2 linked regions of the Drosophila melanogaster genome follow. The protein of the gene in region 1 interacts with the protein of each later gene in a pairwise test. Each region holds a gene or a part of one and is shown on either strand. Other genes may lie near its edges. The genes, in order: Syt14 and Cyp1.

Region 1 (17,815 bases):
ATAAAAGATACCTAAGCATGCAGATTCTATTGAGGTTTTCGTGGCGTAAGTTTCTTTTAGAACATTGTCACACCACAAAGGCCACAAACGGTGGCTATTCTATGGTATTTGACGCCCAAAAACTGTCTCGCCCACACTTTTTAAAAATTTCATTATACCCGTTACTCGTAGTAAAAGGGTATACTAGATTCGTTGAAAAGTATGTTACAGGTCGGACTCGTTTGTGGCCATATAAAATAAGGATATTCCTGATCAAGATCACTAGCCGAGTCTGGCCATGTCCGCCTGTCAGTCCGTTTGTATGAACGTCGAGATCTCAGAAACTATAAGAAAAACTTCGAGAAGATTTAAGTTTATTCATTTCCCAATTTCTATCGACATGCCAAAAAAAATTTTATAGCTCTCGTTCGCACTTCCACTGAGTCACCAAAGGGTATCTAATAGTCGGGGACCACTCTTGTCAAAACTAACATAGGCCTTCCACTTACCTTTCTCGTATATATTTTATAATTGCTTTTATTAATTCTTCGCCTCATGCAATTATTCTCCTGTCAATTTGGAATATATTATTGACTTTTTGTACCCGTGCATTGCAGCAATTTTTAAATCAGAACCCCAACTATGAAATAGAGTGGCAAACAAACCGCGAGCGGGCCATGAATCAACAGAAAGATCACGATGATGCCAAGAATAAAAAGTCCAAGAAAGACGAGGACAAGGCGTCCAAAAAGAGGAAAAAAAAGGGGTAAGGGTCATAAGAATAATTTGAATCCAGATTATATTTTATATTTGTTTCTTTTTTACAAACAGCGGGGACAAAAAAAAAAAGAAGCGCAAGCACGGAAAGAAGAGCAAACGTAGTACAATAGATGCAAACAGCACATCGTCATCCTCCGATAGCTCTTCGTCGGAAGAGGAAAATGGACAGCAACCAAAGAAAGGTCGTACCGAACAGCAACCAATTTGTCAATCAGATAAGTCGACTAATGCAGCATCAATACGAGTGGCCATGAGAAAGCAGGAAAGCACACCAACAAATTTGAAGCCGGAAGTGCCTTGTCAGCCTGTGGTGCCGCCACCGCCACCGATCATAAAGGATTCCACAATTCCTTCAGAACGGGGTAAATGGACTGCCGCCAGTGTCGAAGACCAAAGTAAGGATCAAAAGAACCGGGATGATACCATGCTCAAGCAATGGAATAATGTGCAGCCTGTTATAAGTGAGAGTGAAAAAAAGTTGTTGGAGCAGCTTAAAGGAAGGCTGAAGAACAAGGGAGCCCGCGACCAGAACAACCACAAAGCAGTACCAACAGAAGCGAATGATGAAAAGTTTAGGCGGGGTGGAGGACGTCATTCTCGTTCACGTTCTAAGCGGCGCAGCTACTCTCGAAGCATAAGTCGCGGGCGGGATCGAGATCGGCGGGATCGTGAGCGAGATAGAGACCGTGGTCGTAGGCGTCGGTCACGCAGTCGTGGCCGACACTTCTCTCGTTCGCCCATAAGATCTAGTCGAAGAAGTCGATCCCGTCAGGGCCGAAGTCGACGCAGTCGTAGTCGCTCTATTGAACGGGTAGAGCGTCCCGTGGTCAAGCATTCCGAGTTTCGGCCCCGTACTGTGCCGGAACGCAAGCAAACTGATATAAAGCGCGACAAGAAGGATGCAGAAAGCAAGTCAAAGTCATCCAAGCCCAGTAACAATTCCTTGCCTGGAGGCAAAAAACTACCTTTCATCGGTAAGATGCCAGTATTTAAAAAGCAGTCTGTTCCATCTTTCAACTATGATGCTTCTGCTGTCTACACCAACGGCTGTTTGGAGGCACCACCTCCACCGCCACCTCCATTGGGCGGAGCGACAAGTCAGATAGCTGTGCGTCAACAAGCACCGACAGCTGCGCAGATTCAGATGGCAATGATGGAAGATGCTTTTGGCAATGCTCCCCCATTTCATCCAGATGCGGGTATGATGGTAGATTACGATGAGCTAATGCCAGATCCTGTCCAGTTCGCCAATTTAATGACGAGCTGCCCACCACCTCCGCCGCCTGGAGAAGGCTCTGAAGGTGATGCCCATGGCCCTGAGGATGGCGATCAGCATGACAACGAAAACCGAGAGGACGTCTTGCCCCCAGGCATTGATGAAGCTGAATCTGCCCTGGTACCGCATCCGTTAGACGCTGCGGCACAATCCCGAGACGGGGAACTCCCAAAGGACCTGGTCGAAGCGCTTGACATAATATTCCCCAGCGACGTAGCGATTTTGGAGGCATCAAATGGAAACAGTGAAAAGCAGGAAGATGTGACTATCACCACCATTGTTGAAGATGACGCAGTGCTCAGTGTGATTCATCTTCAAGATTTAGCTAAAGAGGGTATTCACCTTGTAACTATCAATGAAGCAGAGGTACCTAAAAAGTCACATATTCAAACATCGGAGAAGATTGAAAAGTTGCAGGATTTAAATGGCAAATCGGACGACGGAGTAAACATAAAACTGATTGACGCAGAGGATATCCCAATGCCGAATTCGCCTCCGGCTGAGCCGTCATTTGACGAGGAGACGAAAAGCAAGGCCTTACAGAAGCAAGCTGATATCTCAGAAATACCAGAGCCGGCTGTATCGCCTTCAGACAGTGAGAAGCTTCGTCGTCAGTCGGAGCTTGACGAGTTGGCTATGCTGGGAATCGACAGGAGTGACATGGCGGCACAATGTATGTAGAACGTGTCTTTCTTTGCTATGTATATTATTCTTTTTTTTTAATTAAATTAGAAACTGTGCTATTTGAGTCTTAAATGAGTTCTACATTATTTTTTCTATATATGTGCATAGATGCTCTGTAAGATTTGAGTTGACTTGGAGAGGGCGAAAGGCAAGTCCCGACGCCGGATACACGGGCGGACGAATCGAATAACACGTCAAGGAGCCCCATAAAAAGGAACAGTTTTAGATTTTAGATTGGCACCTGTGTATGAGTGTTTTTGACGGAATGTTTTAAATAAATGCGCATATATGTATGTAATATATGTAAGAATCCTAAAAACGTTTGATTTATAATTGCTTTAACATACACTGCGCGTCATCAGATTAGAGCCCCCTGCATGTCCCCGTTTCTTCTTATGTTCTGTTTTTCTATTTTGTTTTATTTTGCCATTGCATAAAAATATATCAATTTAATTTTTTTTTTGTTCACTGATATTCACCTCTTTGAGGATAAAAAAAGGTCCTGAAAAAAACCGTTATCTTTTTAGTTCTGCTTTGTTTTCTTTTCGGCGAAAAATTGGACACGTATATGGCATCATCAGATTAGCGCCCCATAATGAAGTTTGGAATATCTTCCATAATTTAAAAGGTAGGACAACAAAATTTTGTATGCTGTTAAATTGAATAGTTTGCTTTAATTTTGCGAAAAAATGGGACGAGGCACGCGAAATCATAGCTTTCTATGAATGCGGGCTTTCTTTTTATAAAATTGCAAACGGCAGACATCGCAAAACTATAGTCAATTTTATTAAAAACAAGTGAACTTATGGAAAAAACTATAAAGGTGGCAATAACATTCCTTATCGAATACCTTGCAATTCCCACGACTCCTCCGACAAAATTCGGGGTAAAAGTGGCGAAAACCCGAGCAAATCTTTGATTCAAAGAGTGATTAAGAAAACTAAACATTTGAAACACAGAAAACTGAAAAAAAACATCTCTTTATAAGTTGCGAAAAAAAGCACGACTGAGTTTTGCTTGAGCTTATATGATCCGGTCTAAGGAGTGGCATTATGTTGTATTTTCGGACGAGAAGAAATTTATCTGGAGAAAGCAGACGGCTATAGTAATTACAACCATGATTTGCGTATAGAGGAGCATATTTTGGTTCGCTTTCACAGACGGGTTGGAGGTGTCATGGTATGGAGCGCAGCATCTTATCATGGCCTCTGTGAATTCCAGTTTTTAACAGCAAAAATTATATTATTATATATAATTGTGTATTAAAAAACTGCATTTCCCTATTTTAAAAACATTTTTGGAAACATGGATTCAAAGCGAAATGTAAAAGTTCTGGGGCATGGTTGGATGGGAAGGTATACGAGGGTGGTAAACAATATGCCACTCAAGAGGAATCGATCACCGAAATAAAACTCGGTTGGTCTACGATTGCTTTGGATTACCTACAAAAAAATATGATTCACTTCCCAGACGAATGTGTGAAGTCCTTGAAAACAAAAAATCCTTTAAAAATATTCTAATTTAAATATTTCAGTGCTTAACATCTAATTTTTATTTACTTGAATAAAAATCTATAAACAACAAACTGTAACCCAAATAAACTTTTCATTTATAGAACTTTTCAACTCTTAAGGGAAAAAAATTTTCAAAGCTCTCGCTTACTAAATATCTCACATCAAAAAGTTTTGCTTAAGAGGCGCTGACCTGGTGACGCGCAGTGTATTAAAAAACTATAAAAACGCATTCCGTTCATGTTAATGTTTATGTTTATGTCTATTTATATGAATATATTACATTTTTACATTTTTTAATTAAATGGCACTTAACAAATATGGTTAACAATTTTCATTATTCAACCTACTTAATTATTATTTAAATTCTAGGCTTTTTGCGTCTATATAGATTTTGATTTTTGTTCATTTCGATAGGTACAGGTTTTCTTAGTTAATCATCCACAAAATACAAACACTGTTGTGCAATGCATCTCAATTAACTCAAAATGAATTAAATAATTTATGGACCATATTCATTTAAAAATTTAGTGACATTTATTTTTAGTAGACAAAAAACAATGAGTTTCAAAATTTTAAATTACAGTTGACACTTGGTAAAAGCATTCTAGTTAATACATTTGAGCTTACGCACAGGTTATTGGGTTATAATAAATTTTGAAACATAAGATGAAGTGTCGTTGATGTGATAATTGTCGTGTATCCAAATGCTATAAGTGAGTGACACGCATTTTGTGTTGGCGCAACCCTTTTGCTTTTGAGGCGGCTTATAGCTAAAACTATAAGTCCGTAATCGGAGCGTCCGCCACGCTGAATTTCGATGATAGCGTTATGTCCGCTGCAGTGCTTGATACGGTCGGGTTCCTCTTTGTCTTACCTCTCACCTGGTCACTTAGGTCTTCAACCAATTTCTCAAGGCTATAATGTTGCCCAGTATAAATAACCATTGAAAGATAAAAAGGAAGTGTACAATTTGTAAGTTTTAGGATTAGTTACCAAGCTCAGATAGTGATTAAAATGATTAGTAGAATGTGACTAAACGTATATTTAAAACGTCCATGCAAGTGAAAGTTAACGGTGATGGGTTAGTTTAAAAATGTAGAACAGAGCATATACTACACCCACGCAATTATACGTTGATTTGTCTCCTTACGTACGGAGGCCGCCTCGCTGCGCTCCCGCTTTAGATGAGCGTGGTCCTTCTTTCGTGGTAGCAATGGCGGTGGAATTCCCGGATTGATCTGGTCAGAAGCCAGCGCAAAAGAGGGAGGGCTTCTAACTGCTTGCTTTTCTGATTTAGGTATCTGTGAGTGAGGCGTTAAGTTGGAGGGAGATTGATGACCGATGTTCAAACACGATAAACTGTTGTTGCCAGTCAGGGATAATTCTTCTCCGTCCAGTCCTACTTGCTCTACTAACTGCTCCTCTTCTATTTCGTCGTCCTCTTCCAAAGAGTGTGTCGTTTGGATAGGCGTTTGATGCATTGTTCCATAATGAAGGTTTAAAGATTTTGCCCGTCGTATTCCGAGGGCACCGGAACCCACAACTCCGCCGCCACCCCCATTCGGAAATGGCTTTCGGAATCCATGGGATCGGTCATTTTCGTAAATAATGTCGTTACTGATTGGCCGCTGGTTATAACAACCGGCCAGAGCTTGACGAAGGCACTTGTTTTCGGATTCCAGATGTGAGAGGCGTTTGTTAGTCTCCTTTTTCTCCAGTCGCAACTGCATTACTTGGGTCTACAACCGAAATCGAATTTTTAGCTTTTAGCTTTTTATGCACATTTATTTTAGCACTCACCTTTAGATCGTCTATATCTCTCAGAATTCGGACATTTCCCTCGTTTAAGGAACACTGACGTTCTTCAACCATTAATTTTACTCTGAGAACAAAATGTAATCAACACTCTAAATATACTTTTTAATTTTCGACTTCTTACCGACTTAGCAGTGCATCTTCGCGTATGCGCGCTGCCTCCTTCACTTCCCGCACGACATCCGTCATCATTCCTGGAGTGTAGGCGCCTGAAAAATGGGAAGCGAATATAACTTATTACTCACTCCTTTGCATGGCATAGTTGGGGGTAGCGTTTATGTTATACCTGAGTGAAATGTGGGCGCTGGGCTGTGTGTCCCTCCCAATCCACTGCCAAGAATAAGAGGTTGACTTTGTGTGCTTAGCCCGCTTAAGCTATCTCTACGGTGCCGCATGCCCCCAAAGCCTACACCTGCCCAGTGCTGGCTATTAGGGGAGTGCTTTAAAGCTTCGATATCAACTATGATTGTGTTTGCAAGTGCAAGGGAGTACATAGAAAGAGGAAATGGGTGGCAACACATTCTAATTAGCATACGAGTACAAGTAAAATAAATCAGAGATTTGTGTAATTTTGTCGTAATTTGGGAAGCATCGTGACATCTAAACTGGACACAATCCTACAAACCACACACCTTTTGTATTATGCAAATTCCGGCAGATCTTGGAATTGGTGTCGTGCAATATGTTTATTTGTTCCATTAGAGCCGCGAAAAATTTGTTTTGATGTGCCAGATCACAGCCACTGCCATTGTTGTTCACATTTCGACACTCTGGTGTATTCTGGCCACTCAGCTTAGAGTCATTATCGGAGGGGTTCAGTAGGCACGGATCGCTGAACCGAAATCTGTTATCACACGGTAAGTACGGCTCTTTAATAATTCATTACGAATTTATTGTTTTTGCTTACCCCTTGGTAAAGTTGGGATTGCTTTCGCTGCCATCCAGCACATCCGTCGAATTCGGTTCCTGATCGCACCCAAGCCCTTCCGGCCCTCCCATCATGTTGTTCAGGGGAGGCAAGCTTGCAAACTCCTGGCCACCATCACCATAGCTGTTAAGGCTCTGGGGTGGGAAGAGCATCGGATATCGATGGCTAAGAGAGTTCGAATTCTGTAAAAATAAAATAAAGTTGGGTGTGCGTTGTACAAAATATCTTGCAATAGCAACTACTCACGCGCTGTATCCCCAGGCTAAACGGTGTGCCTGGACCCACTCCGTAAGGCTGGGTTCGCTTCGAAAATTCCTGTTGCCTCTGCTGCTGTAGTTGCTGTTTAAGCTGCGGCAGCTGCTGCTGTTGAGTCAAAAACATTTGCTTATGAGCTGGTGCTGTGGGCGGTATGAAGTCCAAAAACTCAGATGAAGAAGACAATTGGGCGTTGGTGGCATCACGTAAACAGCTCTCCAACCAGGCATCAAGGTGATCGTTGGAATAGTTAATATCGGTTCTCTTGACCTCACCGATGTTCGTTTGGTTAAGAGAGGTCGCCGCTGCTTCAGTTTTTTGGGCCAATGGGGAAGGTGGTACGTTACGCGACCTTAGTTTCTTGCGCTTGGTGGCATCCGTAGCTGAAGGAGAATTTAATTTGAGGTCATCTTGACAATTTCAATAGTGCAGGTCCTAGTGTGGACAGATTACGTAGCTAAAGGCTTCACGGCTTTCACTTCCAGCATTGACAAAGTGAAAACTATTACACGAATTCAACAATTCCGGACGTAACGCTCAACTCGGCGGCTAAACTAGAGTTGTCTAAGTTACTTTAGCCCAGAAAAACGTCTGGGGCAATTTGAAGCAATTTTAAGACTATTTTGGTTCGTTTTTCAATTGTTAAAACCAAACGGTTTTCTTTAAGTCAAGCAAATACTTGGTTTTTATAGATTGAGCAAACTCGATGCCCCTTTCGATAAACGGCCAGTAAGGAGAGCAAGGAAATTACTCAGAAATGCTTCTAAATGTTGAGGGATTGTCACCGAACCTTGAAAATATACATATTCTGGATTAGGATCACTAGCCGAGTCGATCTATCAATGTCCGTATGTCCGTCGAGGTCTCGGATACTATAAATTTCATAATAAGAAGCAAGCTTGTTTTGCAACTAACCAAAGCTGACACTCCCACCCCTAATTTGTTGTCATTTGACTGTATATATTGTTAATTTCTATTGATTAAAACTGCCACGCCCACACTATTGAACATTTTCAACTTTTTAATCAGATGTATGTATACTCATATACTTACTTAATATACATATGTACTTTATACTGTAATATTAATTTTAAACAAACAGTATATATTTTGCCCACCTTATATAATTCGGGAGTTAGGTAAATAGTTTCCGTTATTTCAATGATATATCTCGGACAAAGGCATCGTAACAAATAAAATTAAGTCGATTACTGACCGTGAAATCAGTCAGTTTGAATAGATTAAATCTTTTCGTAATTATAGTGGCTAAAAATAAAAGGAACCTTAAGATCAAAAAATGCAATATAACATGTTTATTATATCAAAATTAGTACAACACAGAAGAAACTTAGAGGTTTCTTAACTTTGCAGGGAATTATAAAAGGCGTAATGTACAAAATTAACCTAATTGATTTATTATTGTGTTTTGTATTTATTTAACATTTCACTCACTGATTTGGAATTTAATGTGAATTTTGAGTTTATAATACCAAGTTCTTTAAAATAGACTTTATAAACAACCTAGATTAACGGATATTCAATATTTCGGACGATGATCTCGCTCACCTCTCTGTGTACTGTTCAGACCCGCTCCAGTAGTGACCTTTTTCTGGGCACCGATCCCGCCGTTATTTCCTGGCGTTAAGCAAAAGCTGTTGCCAGCAATCAGCGACGTCACTTCTGCGGGGAAATCCAACCCACCGCCGTTTGTGCTTATCTCCCTCTGGCTGGAAGTTGTCGTTTCCTCCCGCAAAACGCTCATGTTGCTTCTGAAATAGAAAAAATACGGATAGTTAAGTATTGTTAAGCGAGGTTTTTCATTCGTGCGATTCCGCAGTGGACCATAAAAACTGGAAGCACACAGAAATTAACCCACGAAAGACTCGATGTTTGTACCTAGTGCACTTGGGGGAGACAATAAACAGAAGTGAAACAGCAAGAAAAATCCTCAAGTTACGTATGCAATCCCTGGAAACAGCCGTACGATTTCTCCAAACACTTGCACGACCACCGTCACAAACTGTGCTGTGGTTGCAGAATATACAATGTAAAAACATTTAAATGTATGCAGGCACAGACCAGTGGAATGGCACTTAATTGACGAACAATAAACATTTATTCACTTATTGATCTACAAATGAATTTAGACGAATTCACTAACAGATAATAGAATTTTCCAGCGGTAGCCCTAAATCAGCGTTTTGTGTCTATAAAATTGTCAATGAGGTTTAACAGTTTACAATACGATTGATAGTTCAACTAAAAAACCTATTTACCAGTTTTAAGCGTTGTTTCTATTAGTATGTAACATCTAGTAATACGTTCGGGATGAAAATAGGCGGTAGCTTGGATTCAAGATAATTGTATCTACTCCCACTTTAACTGACTAAGAACGACATTGGCAGTAAACTCTGGCCACCAAGATGAACGTCAGTCAAGTATAAAGAGAAAATAAACATTCGCCGCTTTTGGGTCAAGTTTTTTTTTGTTGGTGGGTGGTTGCCAGCAAATATACATACTGCAAGTGAAGACATACCAATAAGCATAAGGTATTTGGCAGCCAATTGAAGTGGCTGGTGCGTAATCTATGCAGTCGAGTTAACCGAAAATTAAGCCGCCAAACCAAACCGGTTTCACCGCTGTGTCTAATGACCTTTCCATTTAACAAATTTTAATGACACCAATAAAGAAAGGCTGCGTTGTCAATGGAGATGGTGACATGGCCCACAGCGACTCCTTCCCGCGATCAATGACTAAATGCACACGGCGACAAAGAGCTGGAAGAGCGAGTCGCTTGGTTTGTTGACCCAATCGAAGAGCACTATACATACATATGTACTTCGATTGCTTGAGCTATATTGTAGCAAATATTTAAACCCTGGCAAAAAATGTGAATTAGATATTGACTTGGCTGGCGATATTGATCAGGAATAGATATACTTGATATGGTCGCAAATATCTCCACCACTGCGTTAAAACCTTCTAACTGAAATTAATATACATTCTGCAAGGGTATGAAGAAATTAGGATTGACAGAAATGGAGTTGACTTGAAAGTTGAATACTAGCTTAAAAGCTCAAAAGACCGGGAAACGACATTGTAAGTTTTTGTAGAAATTCCAAGCATCTACAGCTGGGATTCCCACGCCATTGCTCACTGGTCCACTGCAAAAACTTGCTTACAATAGAATATTTTCTAGAAGCTCTGCGAGGATATTTTATATATTTGGAAGTACACATATATACCTAACGAAAAATGCCTTGGTTGTTAGATTCAAGGTTAGACAAACTTTTATTTTCATACAAAAGCGTTATATTATATGTATTTAGACTGCACTTTGCCAGATTCCAGTTCGGCTTCGTGCTGCTTTGTGTCGAAAAGTTTTGACACGCGCTCAACTCTGGTCTGGGCTCTTGGTACGGGAAATCGAGTTTTCAAATCCCTGTTCCACCCCCATCCCACCCTCTCGATTTTCATTGTGTGCGAGTGACTGCTGCGAAATGAAAAGCGAAACGACATAAGATGACGTCGTAGACTGGCTTTCTTCCTCCTGCTAGCTCCACCAGCAATAAAGAAACGAAGTAATCGACGCCAAGGAGGTGGTATCACGGTACCACCGCGGTATTCCGCTTTGTGGGGGGCACTGAGCACTATATTTAGCTGTTTAGCCATAATCATATTATCAGAAGCGTCTCAGCGGAATTTGGCACACACGGCACTCACACTTGCCCAGTGGCATTGGCCATCCAAAATTTACTTGCGTCACAATTGCGGATTAAATGTATTGGACTTTCAAGCACGGCGTGGGCGCGGTCACGGTTTTGCATACGGTGTTCTGACAGGCGGAAACATTCAGTTTGAGCAGCGACAAAAAATTAAGCGCACAACGGAACTGAGCCAATTCATTAGGCATTTATTTTAGAGGTGGGCAATCTGCGATGTGCCGTCAAAGCGATGACTTTCGCTGGAACAGCGATTGTTGCGATTATCGATACCTGCTGCTCGGAGTGTTATCTGCTATCGAATAACAGCGCATTTCATGTATGTAAGCATGAGTAGCTCTAAAAATTTTGACCTAAATTATAAGGCTCTTTTTTAAACAACCGGACAATTACCTGAATGGAGCATACAATGTGCATTAATTCTGATGCACTAATTCCGCTTTTCTTAATTATTTGGTTCAAATTTTTGAACATCAATAACAGGCAAACGGTCTTGGTCTTAACATTTTATGAAACCGTGGCTACGACTAACGTTTAAACCTTCGAATGCATACGACACGGAGAGAATTTTTATTCGAGACATTCTAAACAATTACAATTCAAGAAATCACAGCACAGCACAACCAATAAAAAAGAATCCCGTTTCTAAGTTTTCAGCTTAAATCATCCTCCCAAACACAAAAAAATAAGCAACAGTTGTTACTGCGATGCAACTGTCGAAACGGAGCTTTTCCGAGCCCTGTGTGTACACACACTGGGGGTGGAGGGATTAAGCTCCAAAGTGCTTGCTTTGAAGCAGTTTTTCCATCGAGTTTAAGGCAGCTCATCCTAATTCAGTTGAATTAAATCCTGAGCCGTTTGATTTTTATTTCTGAATCTCTCGTTGCATGATTCGCAGTTTTGGGATCGTGCCTTCAAGAAATCGAAAGTGATTAATAGGATAGAACAGTATAGTTGTTCCTTCTATAATTTGTTTTACGATTTTGCAACCAAATCTCAGATGAACGGTTCCGAAATACGGAAGGGCCAAAAAAACGGGTAATTCGGAGTACACCAGCTTCCAAACGACTTTTTTGCTTTGATCCCTAGTCGTTGTCTTGCGAAAAATCGATTCCAGTTATCCTGCGACGCTGTGCTGTCAAATTCCTGAGCTTTTGCTTTCACGCTGCAGTGAGAATAATTTTTAGTGACTTGACTTGTGGTCCGGGTGCAATGAGTTGCGAGTAGTAGACTCGTGTTCGCCAGGATCCTCGCATGAGCCAAGATGATTGTTACCTCCGCTTCTGGACTGGATAGCACTCCGACGCTCGGTACGTAAAAATGTATATGCACCCCACAAACCACACCATTCTGACCTGAGCCGTGACTGTTAAATCTTTCAGGCACCATCGAGGTGACCACTTTGCTGGGCGCCTTTTTCGGCGTCCTCGTTCTACTGCTCCTGTTGTTTCTTTTCATCAGTCGCAAGTGCTGTTTTCACTACCGCCATGCCATCAACTGCTGCGACGAGCGCCACCTTGCAGTCAAGTGTGTGCAGAAGATCAGTGAGTACCGTGTTTCGTGGGGATTGGGGCTGACTGGCTAACTTTTAAGTATCCCGCAGCCCGCAAAAGGCGTTACGAGAACACCAGCTCCGACTCGGAGGAAGACATCTTGAGGCGCCTGCGGTGGCATCAACAGCACCAACTGGGCGAGAAGCCTGGCGGATACGGGCTGGGAATCAGCCAGGCTAATCCGCTGACGGCGCAGAGCTTCAACTACCACCAAGCAGGCGCAAGTGCCGACCTGCAGCGTGTGACGGTGTCGCGTGACCCCTTAGCCATCGCCGAGCGTGGCAAGGTTGGAATCCCGTCATCGCACAGTGAGTGCAGCTCGAACGATTCCATGGAGGTCTCCGTGGACAGTCACACAGGCGTCCTGACGGGTCTGAGCAAAGGTAAGCAAGGCGGGGTCAGGGCCAGCTAATTGACAGCCGTTGCAATGAGTCACGACCTTTTGACAGCCACAACCACAGTTCCCCACCCGGCGACAGCCTTCCGCAATCCGTGTGGAGAACACCGGGCCAAGACCCAGGCACTGAGGTACCAGCACCGGGTCAACGTGGCTGCTCCGCCAAAGCTGGACAAGGAACGGGACAACGTGCTGGTGGTGCCCATGGTCAATGCCTACAGCATTAACAACAACAACAACTCGATAACAACCAGCAATAACCATCCCAGCAGCAACAACAACGATGACGTAAGTTTTACAACATAAGAGGTACTTTAAATACCTATTCCTTTAAAAGAAACTATGCCTAGAAAGGCATTCAACTTTCGGTCGGACTCGTAAAGTTTACCCAACAAGCATAGTCGAGTCTAACCGACTCTTATGGTCCATATAGTCTGTTAACAATCTTTTTTTGCTTGACAAGTTAAAATTCATTAATGCGTTGTATAAATTCATTAATGCGTTGCATGTGTAAAATAAAAGTTTATTATCTTAACTTTGAAAAATTATGTGCACCGCATAAATTAAAAATTCTTTCTAAGAAATATAATTAATCTGTCAAAATCCGATACTTTGCTAAAAAATAAATTAAAGTGTTTAAGTTACTTTACTTGCGAGTACCAATTGATATTCCAAAAACTATTTATCCCTAGGCTCTTATTATAAAATCTTTTTGATGGGTAATGCGTTCTTGATAGTCGAGGCACTCAACGATAGCATTTCATATTTTCTTGTACCATGCTTTAGGGCTTTTCATTGAAACTTTTTTTAACATACAAAACTTTTCAACTTCCAGGAACCCCTATTTGACACCAGCGATTTGCGCTCGATCAAGTCGGATGACCTACTGGTTGGTGTGGACCAGAAGGAGCCGGCCGTGCAGAGGGGTCCCATCGAGCTGGAGCTGTCGCTGCTGTACGACGCCCCAATGCGGAAAATGACGGTGCACGTGATGCAGGCAAAAAATCTTCCGCCCCTGGGTAGTGGGCAGACCACCCACACGCAGGTCCGGATGCTGATGCTGCCAAGCAAAAAGCAGAAGCTCAAAACCAAGATCCGTAGCGGCGAAAATCCACAGTATATGGAGAGCTTTCTTCTCCATCGCGTCAACCCAGAAGATGTGAACAACATGGGGCTGCGTGTGCGGCTTTACGGCTGCGAGCGGCTGCGCAAGGAACGCCTGATTGGGGAGGCGTATGTGAGCTTCGCCACTGTTGACCTTGAACTGGAAACAAACCTATGGCTGCCGCTGGAGCCACGAAACACCTCGTCGGGCCTGGGTTCTACTAGCGATCTGTTAAGCCTGGCTCGGTCAGAAAGCGCGGGCTCCACCTCGTCCATGCAGCACGGGGGCGTCTCCGAGTTGCTGCTGGGTTTGAGCTACAACGGGGTCACTGGGCGTCTGAGCGTCGAGATCATCAAGGGAAGCCAGTTCCGCAGCTTGTCGCTGAACAAGGCGCCCGACACGTACGTTAAAATGGTTATGGTCAGCAGCATCGGACAAGAGATCTCCCGGGCCAAAACGTCAATCCGCAGGGGTCAGCCTAACCCGCTTTTTAAGGAGACATTCGCCTTTCAGGTGGCCCTGTTCCAGCTCAACGATGTTACTCTGATGATCTCTGTGTACGCCAAGCGGCACATGAAGAAAAACGAGATGGTCGGCTGGTTCAGCCTGGGTCTGAACTCGTCCGGATCAGAGGAAGTGGCCCATTGGGCAGACGTGTGCGAGATGCCCAAGGGAGAGATGCTGGCGCGTTGGCATGTGCTGGTGGACTCCTGATTCGAGCAGCTGGGCCAGTCATCCGGACGCAGCGGAAAGGCCCTCCGAAAGCTGAGTCTCGCTGCGTTCAAGGACCGGTCCCGCGAGAAGAGCTCAAAGGAGTCGCGTCTGGAGGAGAACGGAGCTCAATTCCATGCAGCGGTTGCACTTGATATTGAGCCAGGCCTGGAGCTGGACTTTGTCTAAAGCAGAGGTCTGTGTTTGTGATTTGTTTTTACAAGGTCGATGCCAAATGACGACTGCTGTCGTCAAGTGCTTGGCTCAGGATGAGACCGACCAAGAGGTAGGGTCATCCGAACAATCTAGCCTAGACTGGGCCATAAAATATTTGTAATTTGGAATCAATTTGGCACACATTTTGTTTATAAAATGTAGGAAATATGAAATATGAAAGCGAACAAGAATAACCAGAATACTCAAATTTTATACGCAAGTACATACACGAAAAGTACATACCAGTACTTATATGTATAACTACTCGAAATTTGAATTTTATGATTGTTTGTGATAAAGAATACTATATGAAATATCAGATGTCCGAATAGAGCGTATTTAAGATTTTGAGTGTACATTTGTACATCTGTGCAAGCTACGGATGAGTGACGAATTTTTGTAATTTACCTTTCTGCATCTTATATTTAAATATTAAGCCCGGCATAAGATGCCCAAAGTCTGTTGAGACTAGCACTTTTTTATTACCCAAATATGAAAACCGAAAACACATAGGAACAATTGTAGCCAATGCATACGTACATACAATACATCAAACCTGCAACTTACATACCTTAACAAACCTACGTACATAGGTAACTCTTGGTTTTTTGATCAAGAGCCATGCGCATGTTCCAGTTTTGATATTCAAAGAAATACAAAAGTATCGGTACCTTAGAATTCGAACGCACAAATACATATTCTACATTCGAAGATAAGTTGGAAAAAATGTTGGTAAAAATACTAGGACATCTGTGAATGCAAGCATGCCGATTCGCGTGCCAGGCGAGAAGATGGATTTTATTAGAGCTTTATTTCGATTTAGGGATCGGACTAAAGAGCACATATGTATTTAGCTGCTCCGCTAAAGTATCTGACTATCGTTGACGGTCGTTGTGGCTGGATTTTGCAATGGTCAATGAAATGAAAGTACTTTGGTTTTGCATTAGAGCGCAAGAATGATATAAGTTAAACTTATAAAAAGAGAAACCTTAAAGCTTTAATAAATATTTAAAGAAATTGTTTTTTAAACTCAAATTAAATCGAAACCTAAAAAAGCAAAACTATTAAGGTGTTGCCATGCGCATCCAGCGTAATATTAATTTGTATGTTGAATCATATTCAGAGTATTTATATCTTTTAAAAATCTGTATGTTTTAAGTGTCGAATATTTTATAACCGCAATTCGAATGAATTGGTGCTCCTTATTACTGCAAAGGCCATATATAAGCTAAGTCTATAACTTCATTTGGGAAGGACAGCGAGGATAAATTTAACTAACTAATCGAAATCGTTAATGTCGGTATTACATATTTCTAAATTCAACAGTGCAACGGCTGTTAGCCTTGACACAAAGTTCATTTTTGTCAAGTGTTTCAGACCAAAGACACTAGAATAACTCTAGTGTCTAATAATTCTAGTGTCTTTGTTCAGACTCTGCGTCCCTCCATAAATTGCAAAAAAAAAAAAAAAAACAAATTCATTTTCTTTTTCTGACAGAGATAACATAATAAAACTTTTAAATTTAAACAATTAAATTGCCATTGTTAATTATCAACTAAATAATTTTAATATAACTTAATTGCCACTTAAAATAAAAGTATATTATATAAAAATCCATTTCTTACCTACTTATTTCGTATTCTAACTAATCCTGAGCTGGCACGTTCATTTTCTGCGTTTTTTCCTTGTCTTTCGCCCGATCCCTGAGTAATTATCCTCGTCGTCACTATTCACCACTGGTTCCGAATTTTCATTAGATTGCGAATTGGATTTGCCAAGTTGCTGGGCGTCCCATTCCTTGCGTAGCTCGCTAAGCATGCCTGGGGTAAGAAGACCCTGTGCAAGTAACCTTTCGGTGAGACGGCCACGCGACAAGCTGGGTAGACGAGGCTCCTTCACGTGCGTTATTCGGCGGATTGCATAGTTTGATGTTTCTCCGTCCTGACTCGCCTCGGTATTTTTAAGCAAGCGAGTTATTTGAAAAACGCCCTGCTGTATAATTTCGTCCAGTTCCTTCTGGGCATCTCGCACGTAGGCCGCTTCAGGGAAGAGATCCATGAACCGATAGCTGCAAAACAAGTTTGATTAGATTTTTTCTGAAGCGCACTTGTGCGAGACTTGCCTTAGCCAAAGATACAGATCCATCACGTCAAAGACGGCCTCAAGATGGACCAGGTCCAATATCGTCTTGGGTAGCTTGAATGGCCAGCCACAGTTTTTTTTTATAAAATCAAAGGTAATAGGCTCGTTGCGGCTGTATTGCCGTGCTACCTTAAGGAACATTGAGCAAACAAAGGGCATCTTTCGATTAATAGGTGCACAGCAGAATACATAGCGAGCCCGCAAAGGCAGAGCAACATGTTGTATCATTTCGGCTAAGAACTTAAAGTCTTCAATGTTGCACATAAAGTATAGAGAATCATCGACAGTGCACAGATTCACGAATATGTCCATTAGGTTGCTCAAAGACGAGCTTGGCAGGTGGTAGGCGTAAAGCTCAATCTGATCGGCCGTAGGATGCAAGCCCGCCTGCTTTATCGGCTCAGGTGTCCGAGCCAATATCCGCTGTAGGGTTTGCAAATCCTCGGACTTGAAGGCAGTTACATATCCGTGCTCCCACTGAGTTCGGAACCGGCCCGCTCTTCCCGCAATCTGAAGTGCGGACGAAACCGATATTGTGTCGATTTCGCGCTCGCCTCGCTCATTCATCGACGGCTTGATCAGTGAGTAAAATATGATTCGACGAATGCTCCTGCAAGTACATTCGCGGGCATTATATTTTGGCAAGCCACATATATAGAATATTTTACTTACAGGTTCAAGCCCATACCGATGGCGTCAGTCGCCACCATTACCTTGCAGCTATTGGCGGGATCATTA
Region 2 (15,836 bases), on another chromosome or scaffold:
ATACTGACTATAAGCTGATCGATCAGATCATCGTTGTCGTTGATCAGATCAATATCGCGCTTGCGCCGACGCACTCGCTTCTCTTCCTTCTTTCTCATGAGCATAGCATCAAAGTCGGAAATAAAGTTACTGTTCCTGCAATGGCAGTAAATGTGGGGTTAAAATCTATTCGCCTGAAGGAAACGAAGTCTTACTCTGGTTCATTTGAAATTGGTGTGTTCTCATCGTCAGAGCTCTCTGTGATTTTGTCTTGTGATTTCTCTTTGCCTATGCCCTTGTCCTGCTCATCCTCTTCATTGTCTGTGTCCGTGATTTTTACACGCTTCTTTGTCACCTTCGGTCCGTCGTCTACATTGAAATAATACATAAATTAAGGTGCTTTTAAAGTTGTAGCCAATATTTACCATCAGATTCGCTGATGGCCCGTCTTTTTCGCCTGGAAGCTGTCTGGGATGCGGCACTACCGGAACGAGACCGGGAACCCTTTCGCGAACCACCGCTAATGGAGCGGCTGCGGGAGCGGGATCCGCTTCTAGAACGCCTCGATCCGCTCCTGGAGCGCCTAGATCCGCTCCTGGAGCGCCTGGATCCACTCCTGGAGCGCCTGGATCCACTTCTAGAGCGCTTGGAACCGCTCCTAGAGCGCCTGGATCCGCTTCTAGAACGTCTAGAACCACTTCTAGAGCGCCTGGATCCACTTCTCGAGCGACTAGATCCACTTCTCGAGCGACTGGATCCGCTGCGGGATCGTCTTGATCCACTCCTCGATCGCCTGGAGCCCGAACCACTGCGCGAACGACTCGATCCGCTCCTAGAACGTCTGGAGCCACTGCGTGAGCGTCTAGAACCACTGCGGGAACGGCGAGATCCGCTGCGAGAGCGCGCCGATCCACTACGAGAGCGCCTGGATCCGCTCCGGGAGCAAATGGAGCCACTTCGGGAGCGTTTAGATCCACTGCGCGATCGCCTAGAGCCACTTCGAGAACGCCTTGATCCAGATCCACTGCGAGATCGTCTAGATACAGAGCCGCTTCGCGAACGTCGAGAACCGCTCCGCGATGCATTTGAGCGTCTAGAACCGGACCTACTGCGAGATCGCTTAGATCCACTGCGAGAGCGACGTGATCCACTGCGCGATTGCTTAGACCCACTGCGGGAGCGGCGCGATCCACCACGGGATTGCTTAGACCCACTGCGGGATCGCCTAGAGCCACTGCGGGAGCGACGTGATCCACTGCGGGATCGCTTAGACCCACTGCGTGAGCGGTGCGATTGCTTAGATCCACTGCGGGAACGCCTAGAGCCGCTGCGGGATTGTCTAGAACCGCTGCGGGATCGTCTAGAGCCGCTGCGCGAACGTCTGGATCCAGCAGGCGATCCCGGTGCTGCGCCAGAATGACGGGAGCCACTGCGGGACGGAGCGGAGCCGCTCCGCGACCGCCGGGAACCGTTTAGCGACTGCTTGGAGCCACTGCGCGAACGCCGGCCACTGGCTGCCGAGTGCACCGATCCGCTGCGGGACTTATGGGATCCGCTTCTGGAGCGGGATGCGCTCTTCCTGGTAGCACTGCGACTGCGACTACGCGAGCGATCGGCGATGGCCTCGGCATTATCATCACCATTCTTGGGTGCCGGCGAAGGAGACTTGCTCTTGCTCTTCTCTGGCAATACTGGCTCGAAATTGGTTGCGTCGGGATTGGTATCTTGAATTTCCTTTAGCTCCGCTTTTGCGGCCGTGTCTGTTGTGGTCTTCTCGAGTGGCTCGGATAAGGTCTCGGCTTCGTCGCCGCCGGCCTTTTCTGAAAATTAAGTGTATAAAATGGTTAAACAAGAATTTCCATTAAGAATCAATTTGGTAATCAACCTATTTCAGACGTTTCCATGCCGTACTAATTATTCCTATAAATTTTTAGTAGTACACAACCAAATTTGCCTAGTCAGTTGGTCAAACTGCTTTCAGGCTCAAATTAAATAATTCCTGCAATGACTTATAAAATACGACGCGATTTTATTGCTCGGCATTTGTAAGGCCAGTGGAACGAATGGAAACGGAACATCAACGCTTGTGTGTACACATACACTAATGCATACACGCTGTTTAGGGCCCTTATACACGACAAGCCTTTTGTTATCGATAACAAAACTTCTATGATAAGACATCCGAAATAACTTATTCTACAAAACATTTAAGTCCAAAACTTAAATATCAAAATTAAATTTGTTTATGGACAAAAGTCTTGTTTTAAAAATAGACTGCGACGTACAGGTATTCGTGTCAAGGAGTACGATTTTAATCCTTGGAAATCGATAACCAAACTTATAGAAATTGATTTAATTTGTTAAGTCAGAATGAAAACTAGGTATTGCATATATTCATAGTCATTACGATTATGTATTTTTACCGCTGTTTCTTGAATCAAAAATTTATATTGCTTCTTATATAAATAAAATGAATTTATTATCTGAGGATTATTTTTGCTTATAAATTGTATAAATAAATCATTTATCGGAATAGACATGCTACCAACTTTTCCATTCAATTAATCGCGATTTTCGATTTTACACAGTTTTTGGGTTTTAACTACGCTTGTTTAAACAAAAGATATCGAGAATTTAGCGTTATCGAATCGGAATCCACCCACTTGAAATGCCCCATCCCTAAATTTGCCATGAGAAAACCAAAACAATAATATTTTTAAAATTGGTAGACATGAAGGAAGAGCAAAGCTCTATGTGTATGAAAACGCCGATATCAGCTATGGAATACTATTCTTATCTATATATTTTCTATTTCAGCTATGTTTGCCGAGGATATCCTACGGGATTACGGCTCCTTCATATCGGAGCACGATGGGAAATTGAAATTATTGCGAGATAAAGTGCCTAATCGGGATGTTTCCGAGTCTGCACAGTGTGTATATATGTCGCCCGTGGTCGAGGTAAACTTTATGGGCAACGATTCCATGGCTCCGGACAGAAGCTTTGAGGAATCGGAGCTGGTGGCCAATAAACCGCTGACAACTCTGGCGAATCTGTGCAATCAGTGCAGAAATCTGTCCAGGAAGGCAAAACGGTTCCAGCTGGCATTCCTTTTCAGCGACTTTCGATTAGATGATACGCTCCCGCCACATACCCACACATCCGAGGGTTCCGCCGGCTTGGAGGGATCCTTGGTCCGCATGAGCAGCTCCATGGACTTCTTCTGCCAGGTTTACTTCTTGCTCAATCGCATGATTGTGATACTCCAAAACCTTTGGAGACAAATAGCCGCATCTGTTAGCGTCCCAATGGACATCAATGAAGTCCACATATTCGTAAGTCAACGATCGAACTCACATCTCAAGTGTAGTAACCAATTGAAGTCGAAACTTGCAGGCTGTCTTTGATGCAATGAGTGAGTTACTGGAACACATAGTGGTATTCAATGAACTGGCGAACCAATCGAAGATATCCACCATGTGGGCGCTGTACAAGAAGTGGCTGATGAACCTATCCAATAGCCAATCAGCGAACTTGGAGCTCAATGGCCTTAGTACATCGCTAATGGATATAGAGAATCTGATCACCAAGGATTTCTTTCGGGTAAGTCAAAGAAAAACGTGAATGGTAACCGCCCTTTCATGGATATTTCCAAACAGATTCTACTGGACAATTTGATGGAATTGAAGAAGCAATTTGGCCTGAATAGTGTTAGCCCCATCACCCAGCATTCCAATGCCTATATTCGTAGGCAGCTTCTCGACGTCGACGCGAATCCGAGTAACGAACTTAAAAACTATGAGGATCCCAAGCACATTATTCGACTTACCACCTTCGTGGTCGTCGTCCATGAGCTAGGCATCCAGATGGAGGGAAAACTGGTCAAGAATGTGATCGATTTGGTGGCCAGGCATAAGCAGGTGCCTCTCAACCGAAGCGTTTTCTGGTCGCCTTCCGGATTCCTCTCTCTACATGCCAAAACCCTGATGAAGTCTTCAGCCCGATCGCAAGATGGACAAGGCCCAAAAGTTCATAGCACAGTATTGGAGAAGTTTAGGCTTAGCGATCAGAGGACCTGTCGCCAATTGGGCGTCCAACTATCGCTGTGGTCCATCCAAATGCAAAGGGTATTCGATGTGGGAGTCTTTGGACACCTCAAGACTTTTCTGCAGTTGATTCTCAATGGACACTCCTATGCCGATCAAGTTAACCTGCTGGCAGTCGCGCTGATCAATCGGCACGTGGCTCTGATGACGCCCATGACCAGAAACGATTGGATCGTCGTCTCTCGGTTGCTGCAGTACCTGAAGGTCATTCAGAAGACCTTTGAGTCAAACCAAATCAATTTCGTGCGCTTTATCAGCTCACTGATACAATGGCAGAAGCAAAAGGTCATACACCTGCTGCACACAACGAAAAAGAAGATAGTTGTCCTCAAGTTGCTGCAGCGCAAGATCAACTTTTTGGCCACAATAAAGCTGGCCGAGAAGTCCATTATGGGATTTCCGAGCAAGCAACGTTTGACTTTCGTAAATCTAGCCCTCGGGGAGTTTCTAGATAATCGCCTCCTGCCCGCCGACAATCAAAAGTTGATCAAATCGATCCTACATCGTGTTAATAGTATCAGCGACATTATGCGGAATATTGGTGGACAACTTAACACGTCGGAGTCCTCGAGTCTGGTATATAATCACTGGTTTCTGGACACTTCGGTGCTTAAGGAGTACACCGAACTCCAACGCAATCCCTACTCCTTGCAGGTTGGTTTCTTACTCAGTTTCTGGCAAAGCAACTTCATGTTTATGCCATTTATCATCGGCAGAACCTCGTGTCGGTGAGCCATCATCTGGACAAGATCATGGCCATGTTCAGGGGTTCAAGGTGTCCCAAGCAATCAGCGAATGACTTGATCATTGAGTTTTTGAGCAACCACCTGGAGTTCTTTCTGCGCGTGGAGGCCCTTTCGCATCTCTTCCAGAGCCAGGATCAACCATTCCAGCAAAGTGCCTTAGACTATCGTCTCTGCATCAATGCAGTTGCAGTTGAAAACGATGGTGATTACAATATTATAAAAGGTAAGATATCGGTTACAAAACTGAGAGATCATGCCATTCATTAACATATTTTAGATCATCTTGAGAACTATTTCACTGCCACGTTCTACAACTTAACGACAATCGCTCCGCACGACTGGAAATCGTATGAAAAGATGCGTCATTTGGCCAACAAGGTGCTGCAGCTGCAACCCATCGATGACCACCTGCCCAATCAGATAATTGACCAGGTAACCAATTGAATCATCAATAAGCAATCTCTTCTATTAACCAAACAATTCTTTCCCACTTTCAAGGGCATAGACGTGCTGCAGATCATGCGGAATATACACACTTTCGCCTCCTCGTATGCCTACAACATGAACCTGCAGGTGTTCGTGGAGACGAACAGCAGGAGCAAGCACCTCGACATCATTGGCACCCGGCACGTGGCCAACTCGGTGCAGACGCACGGCACCGGTATCATCAACACCACCGTCAACTTTATATACCAGTTTTTGCGCCAAAAGTTTTACACCTTCTCCACCTTCCTCCACGACGAGCAGATCAAGTCGCGGCTGCTCAAGGAGCTGCGTTTTCACACGGAGCACAAGCACAGCAAGTCCTATCAGTCGTATCCCTATGAGCGCGCCGATAGTTTTCTTAAGAAGATCAGAAGGCTAGGCTGCTCCAGCAATGGCGAGACGTATATGGATCTTTTCAGGAAGGTTATCACACAAGTCGGTAGGTGGTTAAAGACCATAATTCAAGAAAATGCTTAAAATATAAACGTAAATATTGCTTTTAGGCAACGCTGTTGGCTATGTGCGCCTCCTGCAGGCTGGAAGCAAGAATGCCAACTTCCGGAATCGCTCGTATAAAACCAGATTCGACAGCAACTTCAGTTGCGGGGGCTCCAAAGTGCACGAGGCTACGGAGGGTTCCATCAGGGAGTACGAGAAGAGCCTGGGTCACATGAAGGAGTGCTATTCCGATAGCACAAATTACTTCAAGGTGCAGTCTACGATCTTAACAAGTTAGGTAACCAGCTTAACCCATGGATTTATATTGCAGCTTCTTCTGCAAGGCTTTCAGCCCTTTTTGTGCAATCCACATAACCACCACCTGCGAACCTTCTACCTCATCACACCGGCGCTCATCATGAACTACATTGACTACCGGGTCAAGCAGAAGCTAAAGATCTACAAAAAGGACCAGACCAAGATCTCGCTGTTCGAGGATGGCTTCGCCATCGGCCTGGTCTACATCCTCAACATGCTGAACCAGCAGACGGAGTTCCATGAGCTGGGCTGGAGCCAGACGATCACGCAGCACCTGAACGCGGAGCGCTCCAAGGTGCGCGACATTTTGGCGGGCCAGCAGCGGACGGCGCCGGAGCAGCTGGACGAGAAGCTTCACCAGACAGTGGCGATAACCGAACGACATGTGAACGCCTACGAGCATGAATACAATCTATTGTACGCCACCTTGAGTAGCTCCGAAATATTCTTCCAATAAAATATGTCCATTTACCAAAACCAAAGATCCCAGCAGTGACAACAAACAATTGAGTAGTTGGTTGCCGTTTATTCAGATTTATTAAGACGAAAATACAATTCCGATTCCGGTACATAGCGTAGAACGTTGGTATATATATATATATATGCAATTAGATAATCAGCATTACTAATACTATTATTAGTAGTAAGTAAGCCAACATCAAAAGATCAAACATTTTTCTAAGCCCCTCTCGACTCTTGTCGTCTCATTGTTTTTCTTCTTTGTTTTTTTTTTTGTGAATGGAAATGTTAAAGTTACAGATTTAATGCATATTATATAGCCAATTGAACGCTTTCTGACATTGGTGGGCACTAATTCTATTCACTTTTGGCCCCCACATACAATTGATTGGCCAAAGGAAACCCAACATGTCTATTGAAAATATGTTGGTTTGTTATGTATTTTTCTCGTAATATTACAGTACAGTAATTGGTAAAAAAAAATGTTTTGGAGAAAATGCAAATGGTTTTCGTCTTAACAGATTTTTCTTCTTGCAATGTTGCTGTTGCTTTTGCATCGCACCTTCTTAAAGAGAACCAGAGTTAGCCACAATGATCTTCTTGGAGGTCTTGCCAGACTGCGATCCATAAGATTCGATCTTCTTGACCACATCCAGTCCCTCGACGACCTCGCCGAAGACGACGTGCTTGTTGTCCAACCAGGCGGTCTTCACAGTGCAAATAAAGAACTGGGAGCCGTTCGTGTTGGCGCCAGCGTTGGCCATCGACAGGATGCCGGAGCCGGTGTGCTTCAGCTCGAAGTTCTCATCGGGGAACTTGTTGCCGTAGATGGACTTGCCGCCAGTGCCGTTGTGGTTGGTGAAGTCGCCGCCCTGGCACATGAAGTTGGGGATGACGCGGTGGAAAATGGAGCCCTTGTACCCGAATCCCTTCTCGCCGGTGCACAAGGCGCGGAAGTTCTCGGCGGTCTTGGGCACGACATCGGAGCGCAGCTGCAAAATACAAACAAAAGGGTAGAAATTTCGTTAGTAAACAAGAAATTAATGCTAACAAAGTATGACTCTTTTTCAGTTCTTCAAGGTTTGTTTATCCGAACTCGGATGACCTTGCCACTACTTTTTGCTTATTTATTTCTTTTTTTTTTTGAGGACTGGACAATTTTCTGTATAATTCATGTTGAGCGGCAGTAAACATGATCAGCTGTTTTTTGACGCCGCTTTTTTTTCATCGCCATTTTTAGCCCTTTGATAATATACATATGCATGTTCATATGTATGTGCATATCTATACCAAGGGAAAAAATACATATAATGCACAGAACTTTGCAAATGCACTAGAATTTGAGCAATTTTCCAATTCACCCAGTAATCGAGACAATTGTATAAATTAGTCAAGTAAATGCTTTTCCTAATGCCGCTTCTCTATAAATCTTCAATTGTTTAGTGTAGTAATTCGGCGTGAAGTGCAGAATTTTTCGCGCACTGCATGTATGTTCAAGTGTGCGTATGTACATATGTATGTCCTATTGGAAGGAAAATCCTAGACATGTGGCTTGGTTTACTTGGCGGGCAATGACTTTATTCCCAGGCCACTAAAAATATACATCAAGCATTCGCGTTTCCTATTCTTTTTCTCTATTCAAAAATTAGGTGTACATTACATCATCGGCGGAATTAATAGTGAGTTCATGTTTGCAAACGGGTTTACAGAACTCGCGCATTCACACCCGAATATCTCTGTGTGTACACTGTACATCTGCGCGTACATTACCCGCATGCACACATGTACATATGCAAGCACGACAAGAACATACAGACATACGCGAGTGACCGCTTAGAGGTTATGTTCGTGTATTGATCTGCATGTGTGTATGGGTATGAGCCACACATACGCAGACCACGCCGGAATGTACATATATAGCACACATGCACAGATGCATATAAAATACCGGTAAAAATTGCACACCATTTCGGCCAAAGTTTGCCGACACGTCAATTAAAATAAGGAAAATTCCATTCTATAAAGATAATACCACCAAATGGCCGATTTGCGGGGGTTGGTGCTCCTGCTTGCCTGTTTGCTCAAAATTCAGCGATGTAGAGATAATTATAGAGATTTTCCGATTAAACGCGCCTGTCCAATTGGGTTGGAAAATTGAAAATTTACCCATAGCGCATTGTCATGCAATTAGTCATGGAAAGTAATTGCACTTGTCGCTTATAAATTAGAGGGCGAGTTTGCGCTGTGTGTATATTTGGTACAAGTTTTAAATCCGTAAAAATAAAAAGAAAAAAACGGTATGTACTTATCACCTGAGGCAAATAATGTAAAACACAGTCTTAGCTTTAGGCGTAAGAAATGGCTTTATGGGAAATCACGTGTTTTTCACTTTCTGGTCAAATGTCACAAAAAAAAAAACCTCAACTTAAGTTTAAAATTAAAAAAAAAGGGCAAATAACTCACCTCCATGACGATCCGACCGAGGGGCTCGTTGTCGGCGGTCATATCAAAAAACACCCTAGGCAAAGTACTCATCTTTGACGCTTTCGAATATTCGCGAACAATCTGAATTCCAAACTGCAACTGACCCCTATTCACACTGCACGCTGACGAAGCTAGGGTTATAGATTTGTTAGCTAAAATGGCGGACTCCGCAATCTGAAATGCCGCTGCCGACCTGTGCCGAAACTGTCGAATCAGAGTTGCACAAAAAGAGACCATCGTGTATGGCTTGCGACCGCATGTACGATACTACGATATCGTTCCGTGCGTTCCATTCCGCGCGTTTCGCTGCTGCTGCGGTCGCAGCAATTGTTACATCACTTTAGGGCGCCCATAAACGCACTTTGTGCTGCCCATTCCCCCATCAAAACGGATAAATGGTCGCGTTCATGCGCCCTTTTTACAATTTTTATAATAAATAAATACATTTACTTGCGCTCATTTGAAACCGCCAATCGAAACAACGCATTCGCCTTCGTTAAGTAAATATCTTACAAAAAATTACAGCATCGTGATCAGCGATCACTCCTAAAAATCAAATATTTTTTTGCTTTTAAAGAGCCATTAAAATATAAAACTTAAAGTTGAAATAAACACAAGACTATTAAAAAATTAAGATAATTGAAAAATAGTGGTCACTTTGAAATAACCATTATTCTAAAACAGCACATTGTAAACCCAAAAATCACGGCGAAATCACAGGATTATTATAAAGACTTTTTAAGCATAAATTGTTAAAGCATATATGCAGCTATTTCTATAGCTTTTTAAAAACAAATGTATTAATTATTTTTATACATGTATTCATTATTTTAAATTACTTGTTTTAAATATTAACGTTTCGATAGTTCAATTGTGCGTGTCGCATTTTCTATTTTGCCATTTTAAACTATAGTTAATAACTAATAATAGTGTTTTACAGTATTAAGTCTTACAAACTTTTAAATGTAATTTGGAGAAACGATGGAAAATAAATAAATAAATATAAATAATTTTTGTTTAAATGGCACGATAAAAAATAATTGACCTAACAAGACAGCCTGTTTCAAAATTATTTTTCGATTACTTGAAATGATTGCTCACAAATAATCAGCAATTATCGGAACAATGTTTTCAAATTTGTTTTCCGCTTTTTCTCGCGCCTTTTGTTGTGGTTTTTCTGCCGCGAAATTTGAAAATGGCGTTCAAGGTGAAAACTAGTTGGTGATTCATTTCTGAAAACGTAATGAATGCAGCTGCACGGTCTCAACTACTCTGAGTACTTTTCACCACCTAATTGACCTTTAACTCCCAGTTTAAATGAACTCGTCCTTCTTTTTACATTTATCACTTTATTATTACAATAATGATACGTATATTCATTTACAAAACATATCCATTCATTGTTTTTACATATATAGCATTTCATTTCCCAAACCCATACCCGATCCACTATGAAATAGTGAGATTACCATTTGCCTCCCTCAGTGAATTTAAATGAAAGAGATTAATACAAACCCAACTCGAATCAGAACCGCAAGCCACGCCATTTCATTAAACGGAAATAAAGCATTAGATAAACGCATGACAAAGGCCAGAAGAATTTCTGATTCAGAAGTAAAACTAGAAGGAAGTATAAGCATTGTTTACAATACTACATACATACATACATCAATTGGCAATTAATTACATAAATTAGAAGCACCAAACAAAAACGATATGGCTGGCTAGCCTGGAGCAGCAGCACCTTGGCATGCTTATCCCCGAAAGCGGTTGAACTATGGACACCTGTTCCACGGCTACATGCATATTAATATAAGCGAAGCAAAAGCTTAAAAACAGTGATTATCGTGCTCTTTGATTAATCGCTTTGGAATGCCAAAGTCAAAGCGTTGAGAAGGCGTTTTACAGATTCGGATTCGAGATATATAGCGGACGCCCAGACTTAGAACTAAGAAGACTTTTGTAGAGCGAATCGCAGGATTAGCAAAAAGATGCCCACATGGGTCCACACTTGATGGAATACCCGACTCCCTCCGCTGGCGGCAGCCGCAACGAGCGGCGATTTCTGATTGTCACGGCACATCGTTTGGTTCCGAATGAAGTTGAACATGGACTCGACGAGATTCGCCGGTGTTATGTCCGAGCATTGCTCCAGTTTACGGACCACACACGCCTGCAGAGTCAGCATCTCGTCGCACTGTTTCTGACCGACCGTCAGCTTGGGCATGCTCCTGATGCGGTTGTCCTGCAGATCCGACACGTTCAGGTACTCGGAGAACGTGCTGTTCACGCACTGCTGAATGTTGTCCTTCTGGGACTCAATGCATTCGGGTCCCTTTTCGGCAATGAACAGGGCTATCTGATCGCCATCCTTGTGGCACACAAAGTTGAGCAGACTCTGGATGATCTGCTTAATGACATCCTGGCCCTCGCGCTCCTCCTGCACCAGACAGGGCACCAGTTTGGCCGTGAACGCATCCACACACTCGACGGCATTCGAACGCCGGCTGCAGTACTTGTTGAAGACCACATCCAGTTCGCCCTTGGGCGACGCTTCCTGTATCTCCTGCTGCATTGCCGTGTAGTTGACAATGCCATTGAGGCACTCGGTTAGCACCATGAATCCGGACTCGATCTCGCCGTATGCCTCGACGCCCGCCTCCTCGCCGGCCACCTCGATGCATTTGTTGCGAAATAGCTCCTTGGCGTCGTTCACGCTAAAGTTTGACTTCCTCAGCTGGTCGGGCAGCTGGGTCTGGATCTGATCCAGGTCTAGCTGGGCCATTATGCCGGCAGTGGCGAATATAACCAGCCAAATGGCGTATATCGCATGGCTTACATATGTCCTGTGCATGATGTTTGCTGTATTTTTTGCACTCCTCTTTGTCTTTTTGCTTGCCTCCTCTTCCGTTATTCTCCTTTGCTCTGGTTTTTAAGCTCTGAGATTTGCACTTTTGTTTGTGATTCTATGCGCTTCAAGCAAACATATTTGTTCGTTTTGCGAAATATGCCTATGCCTTTGGGCAATTGGAAAAAATTAATTTAATTAGGAAATCACTGGATGGAAATCCCAATTGGAGATTCTATCCCACCCGTCGGCTAGAGATGGCACTTCGTCGATGACGCTTTCGATGCAACAGCTCACTATCGGCTTTCCGCCGATAAAAGCGTACGATCGATCTATCTCTAGTTCAAATGAACAAGTTCTCGTAGAATTCAGTCTTTATTCTAATCTTCAGTGTTTTGTTTTTTTTTTTAGTCGAAAACCAGTGTCAGCAAGTTGAAGGCGAGAGTAGTTTGGAGGTCGAGGCCTTGGATATTTGTGTGTGGCTAGGGTGGCACATGTGCAATAAGGAGGCGGAGGAGACATGGCCTCCGCGGAGCAAAGAACCGAAGTGGACGCCCTTATGATGGGGCCGATCTCGAAACTAAGCATGCTGCTCACTGTGGTGTCCATTCTGTGGCGCTTCGTCTCGATTTGCATCAACTGGAGCCTGGCGTACGTGTACTGGATGGAGGAGTCCTACGGATACTGCGCCTGGACCATTGGCTCCATTCTGGTGCCCATGGTGGTCACATCGGTCATATATATACATACGTATGTGACATATCGCGATAGCGTGTACTTCCCCCGAAATCTACAGCTAAACGATAAATTTGTATTTGAATTTCAGCTTGAAGAGCGCTCATGCCGGCGAAAAACGCATCCTGGAGCGAGGGGTGTACTCAAATGCTGTGATCTCATATCTCTTCCGCGATGTCTATGTCCTAAACTATGCGTTCAAATACTCGTTGGCCAAGGAGCGGGATGACAAGCAGGCGGAGATCGAGTGAGTAATGCTAGTGTCAGTGTATAAAACTAGTTAATAGTAGCTTAATGCCCTAAATGGTAGTACTGCCGTTTAGTTTATCTTCTCTTTTCATCATAAGTGAGCACTTTAGAATGTTTATAACGAATATCTGAATTCTTATCTTACAGATATTACCAAAAACTCATGACGGAGGAGTGCAATGTTAGTTTCGTTCGTCTATTCGACTCGTTTTTGGAATCAGCACCGCAGAAAATACTACAGCTGGCAATTCTTTTGCAATCGACATTGGAGTTCACATGTAATACGATATTAATACTACATTAGTGCCATATTTCAATCTCTCTCTCTCTCTGCCTTAATTAAGATAACTAATGCATAAGTAATTTAAGCTTATAAACACCAAATTCTGACGTTCACTTTCGCAAATCAAAGTCAGTTTAGGCGTTTAGCCTAACTCATTGATTGTAGCCAACGAAAGTGAAACTCGGAATGGAAAGTCGATGGATGCCATTTACCCATTCAAATTTCTTTTCCCAGACTACCGCCACATCGCCCTGATCGTCTACTTCGGCAACATAGCGTGGTGCATCCAGGCGTACAATCACTCCAATCGCCTGGCCCAACTGGACAAACATGATATTGCGGCGAAGGGACGATTTCTGCAATTTCTCTTCCTGCTCTGCCTCACTGGTTAGTAGTAGTTAGTTAGCTGTGTTGCTTAGAATGTGTATATTAAGCTTTTAGTTATTCGCTTTTATTTCGTAGTTTCGAGAACGCTTTGCATCGCGTATGTGGCCAGTATTTTTCCCATCGAAACGCTGATCATCTGCGCGACACTGGCTTGCTTTTACGGCACCATTGTGTTCTTTGTGGACTCGCCAATGATCGCAAAATCCCGCCCCATGAACTATTCGTACTGCCTGTGCTTTGGCGTTGTCTATCTATTTATTTTTACGCCCGTCAAGGATGCACCAACCAAATATAAGTACGCCTTCTATCTCACATTCTGTTTGTTGCAAAATATCATCGCCTGCGCTTTGTACATTCCCTTGTATCTTGCCACAGCCATCATTGCCTTGTATATTGTCGGAATTGTTCTGTTAATAATCTACTACACGTACTGCCATCCAAATACTGTGCGTACTTATTTTTAAAATTCTAGCATAATTAGTAGCATTTTGTATATTTGCAATAAACGTTGTTATGCCCACTTGTGATGCGCCTTTGATTTTCAATTGGCTTAAGCTGGTTTCAGATCTAATCTAATATCTAATATGCATTGTGTTTTTATTAGAGGATATATACATACATACATACACACATATGTATATGCAAATTTGATTTCATTTCTAGATTTTCTATCGATATTTGACCATCGATTAACTGATAGTTAGGTTTTAAATTTAGTTAGAACTTTTCTTTGTAGCGGAACATCAACTAAAGGATATATATAGATATATATAATATAAATGTGAACTATATGAATTGAATGTGACACAATATAGTCGCACATACATATATATGTACATACATCTATGTTTGTATTTAAGTGTCATTAAAAAGATGTCATATTTATGTGTTAATCCCGTGTACTTAATTTGAAGCGCTTACTAAATATTTTTCAAATGCAATGCCTTTCTGTTCAACTAGTTCCCAAATATTGATCAGCAAATGCATCATAATTGAATCGATCATTCCAGATGCGCATGCGCAACGCGCCAAGATGATGGAGTCGCGTATCTGAACTGGCGCATCTGGAACCAGTTGGCGGAGTCGGTGGCTGCGATGGAGTTTGGGGCGCAATTAAAACGGTTCCCGCAGATGAACCGAACGGAACCGGTTCGGGATCGAAGCTAGAGTTGGCTAAGCTAGTTGGCATTGTATATTTCATGCAGCTGGTTAACTTTCACTTCGGCTACGAGGGGCGGAGACCAAGGCAAATCGCAGTGGGACTACGACTAGCAGGCATCAGGATAGCAACTCGAAAGCGGAAGTGATGCAAAGGATATCGAAGCCCAGAAGATGGCATCCAAATACGAGCGCATACTGAGCGATTGCAGATCGAAGAACGTGCTGTGGGAAGACCCCGATTTCCCCGCGGTCCAGTCTTCGGTCTTCTACTACCAGACACCGCCGTTCACCTTCCAATGGAAGCGTATCATGGATTTGGCGGATAGTGGCTCCGGTGCGGTGGCTGCCAACAGTTCGGCGGCACCAGTGTTCCTCAACGAATCGGCGGAGTTCGATGTGGTGCCTGGCAAAATGGGCGATCGCTGGCTGGTCTCCTGCCTGGGACTGTTGAGTTCCCTGAGGAATCTCTTCTATCGCGTGGTGCCCGCCGATCAGACACTGGCCAGTGCTCACGGCGTCTTTCGTTTCCGTTTGTGGTGGTGCGGCGAGTGGGTGGAGGTACTGGTCGACGACCGTCTGCCCACCATCAATGGACGGCTGGCGTTCATGCAGCCGCAGGCATCCAATTGCTTTTGGGCCGCCCTGCTGGAGAAGGCCATTGCCAAGTTGCACGGCTCCTACGAGGCCCTCAAGTACGGCACTCGTTCCGACGGACTCACTGATCTCCTGGGCGGCGTGGTCCGGCAAATGCCCATCCTGTCGGACAACATCAGGCCACAGACGCTGAAGGAGCTACTCACCACCACCTGCATTGTCACCTGCTTGGCGGACAAGAGCGCAACCGTGGCCAAGAAGAATCTCGCCGAGCGCATGCCCAATGGGATTCTGGTGAACGTTAACTACAGGTAGGACATCCATCGATCTATTACCTTCTAATGTCTTTACTACTGCAACGACCATTTGCCATTGAAACTTACAGACTCTCCAGCCTGGACAAGGTGAAGACCCTGATGGGTGACTCGGTGCAGCTGGTGTGCCTGAAGGACACGTTCTCGAGCAAGCCGTTCGGCGAGAAGACGCACTTCCTCGGCGACTGGTCACCGATGTCCAAGACGTGGGAGCGTGTCTCGCAGGTGGAGCGAGCGCGTCTCATCCGG

The links.
Region 2: the proteins of Syt14 (region 1) and Cyp1 interact in a two-hybrid assay, tested with the Drosophila melanogaster proteins (one large-scale study listed by BioGRID).

The regions. Positions count from the first base shown.
Region 1 is NT_033777.3:4,313,030-4,330,844, reverse strand, and holds Syt14 (synaptotagmin 14), read left to right. Parts: upstream 1-11,775; 5' UTR 11,776-12,217; coding exon 12,218-12,263; intron 12,264-12,335; coding exon 12,336-12,497; intron 12,498-12,556; coding exon 12,557-12,889; intron 12,890-12,955; coding exon 12,956-13,191; intron 13,192-13,738; coding exon 13,739-14,722; coding exon of another isoform or gene 14,723-14,908; 3' UTR 14,909-16,390; downstream 16,391-17,815. Other genes in the region: CG9776 (uncharacterized protein), read left to right, coding at 597-745, 811-2,708, 2,828-2,838; CG9795 (uncharacterized protein), read right to left, coding at 5,010-5,148, 5,356-5,972, 6,034-6,115, 6,173-6,257, 6,335-6,508, 6,681-6,892, 6,956-7,158, 7,223-7,614 and 2 more; Suv3 helicase, read right to left, coding at 16,601-17,003, 17,058-17,687, 17,750-17,815.
Region 2 is NC_004354.4:16,311,084-16,326,919, forward strand, and holds Cyp1 (cyclophilin 1), read right to left. Parts: upstream 9,288-15,836; 5' UTR 9,254-9,287; coding exon 8,996-9,253; intron 7,525-8,995; coding exon 7,099-7,524; 3' UTR 6,590-7,098; downstream 1-6,589. Other genes in the region: CG9915 (uncharacterized protein), read right to left, coding at 1-135, 195-348, 405-1,799, 1,865-1,883; SWIP (strumpellin and WASH-interacting protein), read left to right, coding at 2,799-3,314, 3,376-3,582, 3,639-4,739, 4,802-5,054, 5,109-5,263, 5,330-5,756, 5,821-6,026, 6,087-6,530; CG9917 (uncharacterized protein), read right to left, coding at 10,965-11,870; CG32579 (uncharacterized protein), read left to right, coding at 12,385-12,614, 12,691-12,846, 12,996-13,126, 13,366-13,518, 13,573-13,982; CalpC (calpain C), read left to right, coding at 14,851-15,584, 15,659-15,836. UniProt on the Drosophila melanogaster protein: PPIases accelerate the folding of proteins. It catalyzes the cis-trans isomerization of proline imidic peptide bonds in oligopeptides.